2 linked regions of the Oryzias latipes genome follow. The protein of the gene in region 1 interacts with the protein of each later gene in a pairwise test. Links are inferred from orthologs where the notes say so. Each region holds a gene or a part of one and is shown on either strand. Other genes may lie near its edges. The genes, in order: tpm3 and hsf2.

Region 1 (4,582 bases):
ATCTTCTGATTTCCTGACCCTTGTCTTTCACTCTGTTTGCCTGCTGCCTGCCCCAAATCTCGCCTGGATCCTGACTATTTCTGTTTCTTCTCTGATGCTGCCATGCTCTTTATTGACTCCTGCCTGCCTGACCCTGATTTAGCTTTGTGGACTTTTAGCTGAGCTAATAAACATGCTGCATTTGGATCCAGCCGTCTGCCCATTCTTGTGACAGAATACTTTGCCAAACATGGATCCAGCAGGAGCTCCCAGCCCGATGAACCCGGTGGGGTTTGCTTCTTTGTTGCTGGAGCACAGTTGCCACCTCCCTCCAGGAGTAAAGATGCAAGAATTATTTAAAGACTTTTGGATCTGAACTGGACTTTTTCTATAGCTTTAGTATTCTTATGTAATAGGTGACAAATGGATTTATATTTAAAGGGCTGTCTCTTTTAGAGCTCTTTGGTCTTGGTCATGGTGGAGAGGTTGGAGTCTGAATGTTTAGGGGAATAAATAGGTGTATTTTATTCAGATAATAAGTTCAAACAGGTGACATTAATACAGGAAAGAAGAGCCACAGGTCTCTGTGGGACAGAATTCTAGCCTGTTTGTTGGAGCTAAATACTTATTTTCAGCACCATCATACAAATAACTCATTAAAAATCATACTACTTGATTTCTTGGAATATTTTTTGTTTCATTCTTTCTCTCATTGAATGTATGATTAACATTACTGACCTCTTTTATCTTAGTAAGTGGGACAATGGATAGAATTAGAGGCTGATGAATACTTATTGACTTTGTCACCTTTATTAAGGTGTTTATTTTCCAATTACAGCTGCCAGTGTAAGATTTATACAGAGGAATAACACACAGCTGTCGCTGAGTATCAACCTTGAATCATAGATTTCTCAAAGCATTTCTAAAGATGCCAAAATGGCTTCCAGATCTTCTTAAAGTGTACGCCTAAGATAAAACGCAGATGGAGCATGAAACTGGGGAAGTCAGGGAAAACAGAGGATGAAGCGGGGAGGTTGCAGCCAGCAGGAATGCAAAGGTCCTCTGCAGACTGAGGCATGGCAGAGGAGGTGGCCGACAAGTCAAAACCAAAGCAGCCCCTTCGAGGGTGGAGACACAGGCAAGAGATGCGACAACATCAAGGAGGTACTTAAACTAAGCATCATCTAAACATGGAAATTGGTGAGCCTTCAGAGCTGCCTGATTTGTATTTGCTTAGAGAACCAGTGAAACACTACCCGCTCCCTGTTCCTCACAAAAAAGGCTTTACAAGGTTTGCAAGCTTACTCCTGCTCTTAAATCAGAAATGTTCATCTATCCTTTGATAATGGCAGCATATCCCAACTCGGGACAAGTGGAGCACAGCCTAAACAGATGTTTGTATTTATTGTGATTTTTAGAATTTACAAATAATATTGCAAAAGGTAGTTTGTTCTTAAAATTTGGAAGATTTTAACAAAGAAATTATAAAATATTGTTTGTAAAAAGCCAACAAAACACTTCCGTCAGGTTTATACAGAGTGTCAAGACTGAAGACTTAAAACAACTGTTAAGTGACCTGACAGGAATGGCTGAAGGACCAAAAAAAGACTGGAACTATTGTGAGGCTTACACTCAAGGTTATGATGGTGACATCATAGTGGAAATCAGGATTTAAATCCCACCAACAGCTGTGAGAGGCAGGCAAGGCATGCTGGGAATGCAGCACAGGAGGACAGGCCTGGCTGGGACGAACCACATCAACTGCCTCTGTCTGAGTCTGTGCCCCGGGCTCTCACCGCACAACAATGCAAAACCTCTTTTCATGTCATCCTCACACATGGCTCATCCCAAACCCAGAGGATAGGTTTTTTCCAATGGTATACCTCCTGTTTATTATGTTATAAAATGATATAAAACTGATCATTTTTGACCAAAGATGCAGAGATAATATAAAGTGGGTTTATTTAATTGGAAAAAAACAACATTCAGGTATTTTACGGTTCTTTCTCAGTTTAACGATCCTATGTGCAGCAGCTGAGCTTAGTGTTGCATGATTACTCACATCAGCTGCTTTTTTGTCAGCAACTTCCAGCTTCTCCTGAGCGTCCTTCAGGGCCTCAGAGTATTTATCCAGCTCATCCTCCGTCGACTTCAGCTTCTTCTGCATTTGCAGGAGTTCATCTTCATGCTGAAGACAAACCGACAAGGAAAATAAATCATCTACACAGCAGGTAACCTGAAGAAAGTCCTATTTTGATATACTGAGCTGCACTTAATGCATATGAAATTGCCCTATGTTATTACACTCCCTTGTATATTATGTTTAAACAATTCTTCTTACCCTCTAAGAATTTTTTTATTTTGTTTTCAGTTTAAGACCTCTGGTTTTATTCAAAGACACTTTATTATTCCCCAAATTAAGAAGTTGTAGTACATATTTTTTAACTTTATCTTTATTGACAACAGTGACTGAAAACAATTTTTGTTATTTACCCTCAAAGTAGAGGAGGCTTAAATTCTGGAGCTTTTTTTTAACCTTCCAACAACCCCATCAGTAAAAAAAATGTAAATCTTTAGTAATCATTGTCTGGGGTCGGTGATCAGAACAATTTTTAAAATACAATTTTTTTTTTCTATGTGCTTAACTTTTTTGTTGAGCTGGGAGTTAAAATGTTAACAGTGATTGTTGGTTTTTATGGCTTTTTCCAAAAAAAATGTTGTGCTTTTTAGATAATTGTAGGTCTTTTAAATGTATTTACATTATAGATTGCCATGACCCACCTGTTTACTTCTGTCCTCAGCTGCTTTCCTGTCAGCCTCAGCTTGTTCTGCCTGGTCCAGTGCGTTCTCCTTGTCCAACTTCAGCATGAGCATTTTCTTCTTGATGGCTTCCATTTTGGCTGTTGGGTTCCTGAAGCTGACAGGGAAAACAAACAGAGGATTTTGTCTAAAACAGGTTCTAGAGCTTGTCTAAGCTGGTGGAAGAACCAAACTCACTCAAGATATTTTTATATAGCAGACACCTAGCTCCTCCTTCTTTAATCCCACCCTTTGTGACAAAGTGGGTAACGTTACACCCATTTGTCCCAGAACTCTGTCCAACATTTATTAAAAGAGCACGTGTGTTTTGCCATTTTCCATCATAAATCAAGGTTCAAACATTTGTTATTCCTGTTTTGTGTTGTATTTATTCCATCTAGAATATGAGTAATCTTACAGGGTTGTGGAGAATCACACACAACATTCAGCAATCTCCAATTAAAATAATTTTTTTTCTGTCTTCTCGAGATTTCAAGATAAGTTTTAGTTTTATTCTGTTATCCTTAGAAAACTGGTGTTTTCTTCTCATGATAATGAGTCTTTAGGTTATTATCTCGAGAAAAGAGAAAAAAATTGACATGGCTATTCCGGTCTTCTGTAGTAAACATCTGTTAAAGTGAGTTGAGAAATCAAACTTTTTTGGCAAAAATGTTTTTATTACCTACCTTGTAACACCCCTTTCCCCCCTCCCAGACAAAAAGGAACCAGATAAAACCTGAAAAGTTCAAAACCTCATTTTAGTCAAAATCATTTTTCCCTTTCATTTTCTGACAAAAATATTGAGGCAGTTCAGTTGAGATTTCCTCATAATATTCTGTCCCTGACATTCTGTGTTGCCTTTTCATCGGGTGTCAATATTAGAATTGTTATTGCTTTAAACTCCTTCCCTCATTTATGCACTGATTAATAACTGAAAGCTTTATTATAACCGTACAGTTTATGCAAATATTGTTAAGGAGAAAAACCACTCTTGTTTTTAGAGGGGCTCCAATAGTCTATGCCCCCACCACAGCAAAAACCTAATTGTGGTGTTTGAAATGTCTTCCATGAAGCAACAATAACTTCAAATGCAAGACCGCAGCCTTTACTGGTGTGTGTCAATTCAACTGAAACTGAACCTGAAGGGTTTCTTTCTTTTTTATGATCCCTTTAACTCTATTTGAAAATGTGACAGCGTCTTATAGGATGAAAGAAGAAGGAGCTGCAAACAATGCCAAGAGAAACATTAACTGTGTGCTTGAGTGCCAAATGCCCTGGGATAACTATAACGGGATCTCTCCAGGGAATACACAACCGTGAATGTGTCGCTTATTCCTGTCTAAGCCCTGCTGGGTTATTAATAAACATGTTTTGGCTGACATTGTCCTACGGATCAGAACAAAAGAATGTCTGCAGCTTGGCCATGCTGGTGGAGACGACTCTACAGAGAGAAGTGTTTAATGGTTCTGTTAGTTTGACGATAGTTGATGAAATTATGCAAAACATAGGAATATGCTATATTTTGTTTTCTGTAATTAAAGAAAAGTTTTTTTAATAGATGGGGACATTGTTGGATTAGAATTAAGACAACAGTGAGCATAAATGGAGTGGATTACAGCCGTTTTTTTCTAGTTTCCACTTTAATATACTCTTCTGGTCCTGACCTGCTGGACCTCATCACAACTTTCTTCTGGTTAGGGCATGGAATGTCATAATTCCAGCACAATGACGCCCATAGTGGAAATTTGTGTAACAGTATATGGATGGTGGCCTGTAAAATGACTGTGGTGGTGAAGTCAAATTG
Region 2 (3,592 bases), on another chromosome or scaffold:
TCCTGAACAAACGGAACATTTTGATACCAAAATTCCTGTAATAACTTTAAGTATAAAGGAGTTCACCTGCTTGAAAATGTGTGGGAAATAGAGAACCTTAATAATGTGAATGCTTTGGAGCTGTCACATAAAGAATGCTTTAAAGGTCCACTCAGATTAAAATCATTTAGTGTTTTTTTTTTCCATGTTCTTGTAGCATTTTGTCATAGACGTACACAAAGAAAATTAAGCCAAAACTTGCATTTGAGGTTTTTTTTCCCCTTCAAATTGTGAATCAGGAACAGACGTTAAAATGGAGTTAAAAAATGAGCTTATTAATTTGTGACGTAGAAAATAAGTTGGGCGGGTCACAAACTCCCTGATCTGCTCCATTCTGAAGCTTCCGCTTGCAGAAAAATGGATCCATGTACATCTTTGGTTTCTCCGTCTGAGCTGGAATCTGGATCAAAACTGTTCGGCTGCATAGCTCCAATACTGCTCATCATTTTTGTTGCACTGGTAATTTTAGGCTGGGGGTGTAAGCTAGCATGTAAACAGAGAACTCTCAGTAATGGAGAGGGAAAGGGAGACACCAGAAGAGAATCACTAGACATTAACTTTATTTCAGCTGCATGGTTTCATCGGTCGACACAGAAACCACCGTACCTCACAACGTCAGCCTGACTCAGCGGAGGCAGCATGAAAAAAGCTGTGTTCCGGTTCATTGTTTACAGAAATCAGCAGTTCTACCCATCATGTCATGTCAAAGAGGTTCCAGCCGTGTAGAAACCTCAGCTGCTGTCACGACGCTCCTCAGCCGCATCTCTGCAGGAGAATTTCCCTTCCCTCCCGCTGCAGCTCTGCAGTGTTTGTGCATGGATGGGCCGCTGCAGAACCTGAGCTAAGCTGCCGCGCAGCAGTTCAAAGCAAACTCCTCTCTTCTGAAGGAATGCTGCTTTATGAAATGTTAGCTTTGGAAGGAAATGTAGCAAAAACAAACAAACAAAAAACAACTGGAAATAAATAAATGTATGTACAAGGAGGAGACTGCACTTTTGGACCAAATATGGGCGGAGAGAAGGAAGAAATGGGCCTCATCTTCCTCCTCTGGTGCTGAACACAGAGGTCTGCTCCTCATCTCTACGTCTCACAGAAATTCCACGAGAACACAGGCAGCAGTCGGAATAATAAGAAAGAAACTTTGTGGTGAGGTGCTCCCCCCTCATTTGAGCTGATGATAAGTGCTGAAGGAGGGGGGGGGGGGGGGGGGGGGGCACAGAGTCCAAGCAGGATCTGATCCCAGCAGGAGGACGTCCAACAGATCTGCTCATACTTGGCTCAGTTGGGCGGAGTCAGTCTCAGGTGCGGCAGGACTCAGCTCGCACAGGTAGAAGAGCGTCTCCTCGCTGGCCTCCGCCTCGGTCAGCGGCTCCAAGCGGATCAGGGAGCTGCGGCTCGGCTGCTTCGGCTCCTCGTCAGGGTCCAGGAGCTCTGAGGGCAGCTCTACAACGCTGCCAGGGCTGGAGGGGGCCTGCAAGCACGAGTCTGACCCCACTGGAGTGTTGGAGTTCAAATCCAGATCTGGGGGAGGGGCACAGCCATCTAGGAAAGCCAGCAGGGGGCAGCAGGTGTACTGGATCAGCTGCTTATCTGAGGAAAGGAAACAAGAGTTACAGATAAATGATCAAAGCCAGCCATCAAGCTAATCATCTCCATTAGAGTCTACACACATGGACCAACATCAGCTTCCATTTATGCTGACGACACACATCTCTGTGTTATGCTACATTCACATTAGCCTTCAATCCAACCACAGCTTGCAATGAAATGAAACGTAAACGCGCATTTCCTGCTTCCACGCTCAGAAATCTCACGTTCATGCAAGCCCGGCTGGAATCACACGACACCCAGTCTTTCAGATACTGGAATAGAGCTGTGACAGAAAAAGTAGCGCTAGTGTACCGAGTAGCAACAGACCAGTGTGAACACCAAATGTTAAAAGCACGTTCAAAAACCCACATTCACTGTGTTCTTGAATGTGTATCCTGTGCCCGGTGTGAGTGTGTAGCATCACAGAGCCTACCGATCATTAAGAGCTCACTTATACACGTGTAAGTGGACATTTTGATATAAAAATATAGACAGGTTAGGATTTTAGCGGTTTAAACCAAAACTCAGGCATTCTGTCTTACCGGTGTTGTCCTTCTCTGTCTTGCTTCTGACTGGCTCTGTGTTGCTGTCCTTAACTGAAACGCTCTCCTGAAAACAAGGATTTTTTACAACAAGATTAAAATTAAAAGACTAGAGAATAATTTATGTCTAAACTACATTAAATACTTGAAAAACACCCACAAAACCTTTCCTGGATATCTACCACACAATGTTAGAAATCCTGCACTAAGAAAGATCAGTCTAAAGATGTTTGAGGAAGAGGATGAAGGGGCATTACCTCAAGGGCCTCAAAATCAAAACTGCACTGTTTCTCATAGATCATGGCCTGAAAGTCCTCCAGACTGCAGTCAATGCTGTCCAGATAGTCCATGAGCTCCAGCCTGAAACACACAGACCAACAGTCAGTGGGCCGAAAAACAGCACCCTCTGCTGGCACAGCGGAGCCTGTTCATGTTCAACTGCTCGTGACTTAAGAGATCTTCCACAACGGTCAAAACAAAGCAACGTGACCCAGCTGTAAACAAGAAGTGACCTTTTCAAATGCTGAAGGAGAAATAAAAAGTGACCAGCTCTTTGAGAGAAAAACAACAGAGCCTGAAAAATGCTGCACCCCAATTACAAACCAATACAAACTGTTTACAAGAAGAGAGCTGCTCCAAATGTACACAAAAACTGATCCCCACCCAGTGTAAAAAGAAAAGGATCTTCCTCAGCTGTGGTTGGGGAAGTGGCCTACCATACCTGTAAACGGAAAGTTATATACTAGAGCTGTAAACAGGAAGTGGTCTGTTCTGGGTCATAGGACTCACTTTCCCAGCAGATTGATGTTCTGGGAGATTGCTCCGTTCTCGTTCATGATGGAGTCCATCATCTTTACGGGATCCTCCAGACTCAAACCGGAGGGTTTGTTGAGCAGCAGGGCGTTGCTGTCCATAGAGCTGCTCCGCTGGATGGTGTCCGTCACTGCGGTGATGTCGGGGACCTCTTCCACCTCCGTCTGTCGGAGCTCCTCTGTGCTGGCGGTGCTCACTTCAGCCTCAGCTGGAATAACCCCACAGCTGTCCAGGTCCACCTCCACAATCTCCACCTCACTGAGGAGAGCATTGACAGGGACAGAGCTGTTCACCTCAAACTGATCTCAATTTAGGACAGATTTGCTCTGCTAACACATGAGCAGTTCAGGTTCCTCAAGACTATAACAGCTCATGTCGACTACCGTCACGGTTGAACTTTTTACACAATTGACATAATCCCAGTGGCTTCTGAAGCGGAGAAGAGCAGCTTTGTGCTGATATTTAACACTTTTACAGTAGTGAGGTGTTTACGCCGTCAACATGAACCAGCTGACTTTGTGCAGCCATGCCTAGAGCTGTGACGGTGTCGAATTTTTCATCACCGCGGTGATGAACCACCAGGGGGCGCGGTGTCGCGGTTAACCGCA

What was found.
Region 2: the proteins of tpm3 (region 1) and hsf2 interact in binary tests that used the Homo sapiens proteins (3 or more experiments, as listed by UniProt). The two-hybrid records come from large-scale screens. The link is inferred for Oryzias latipes from reciprocal best matches to the Homo sapiens genes TPM3 and HSF2.

The regions. Positions count from the first base shown.
Region 1 is NC_019869.2:21,739,219-21,743,800, reverse strand, and holds the start of tpm3 (tropomyosin alpha-3 chain), read right to left. Parts: upstream 2,986-4,582; 5' UTR 2,875-2,985; coding exon 2,761-2,874; intron 2,168-2,760; coding exon 2,042-2,167; intron 1-2,041. UniProt on the Homo sapiens protein: Binds to actin filaments in muscle and non-muscle cells. Plays a central role, in association with the troponin complex, in the calcium dependent regulation of vertebrate striated muscle contraction.
Region 2 is NC_019882.2:10,661,254-10,664,845, reverse strand, and holds the end of hsf2 (heat shock factor protein 2), read right to left. Parts: intron 3,243-3,592; coding exon 2,961-3,242; intron 2,532-2,960; coding exon 2,429-2,531; intron 2,239-2,428; coding exon 2,172-2,238; intron 1,630-2,171; coding exon 1,307-1,629; 3' UTR 582-1,306; downstream 1-581. UniProt on the Homo sapiens protein: DNA-binding protein that specifically binds heat shock promoter elements (HSE) and activates transcription. In higher eukaryotes, HSF is unable to bind to the HSE unless the cells are heat shocked.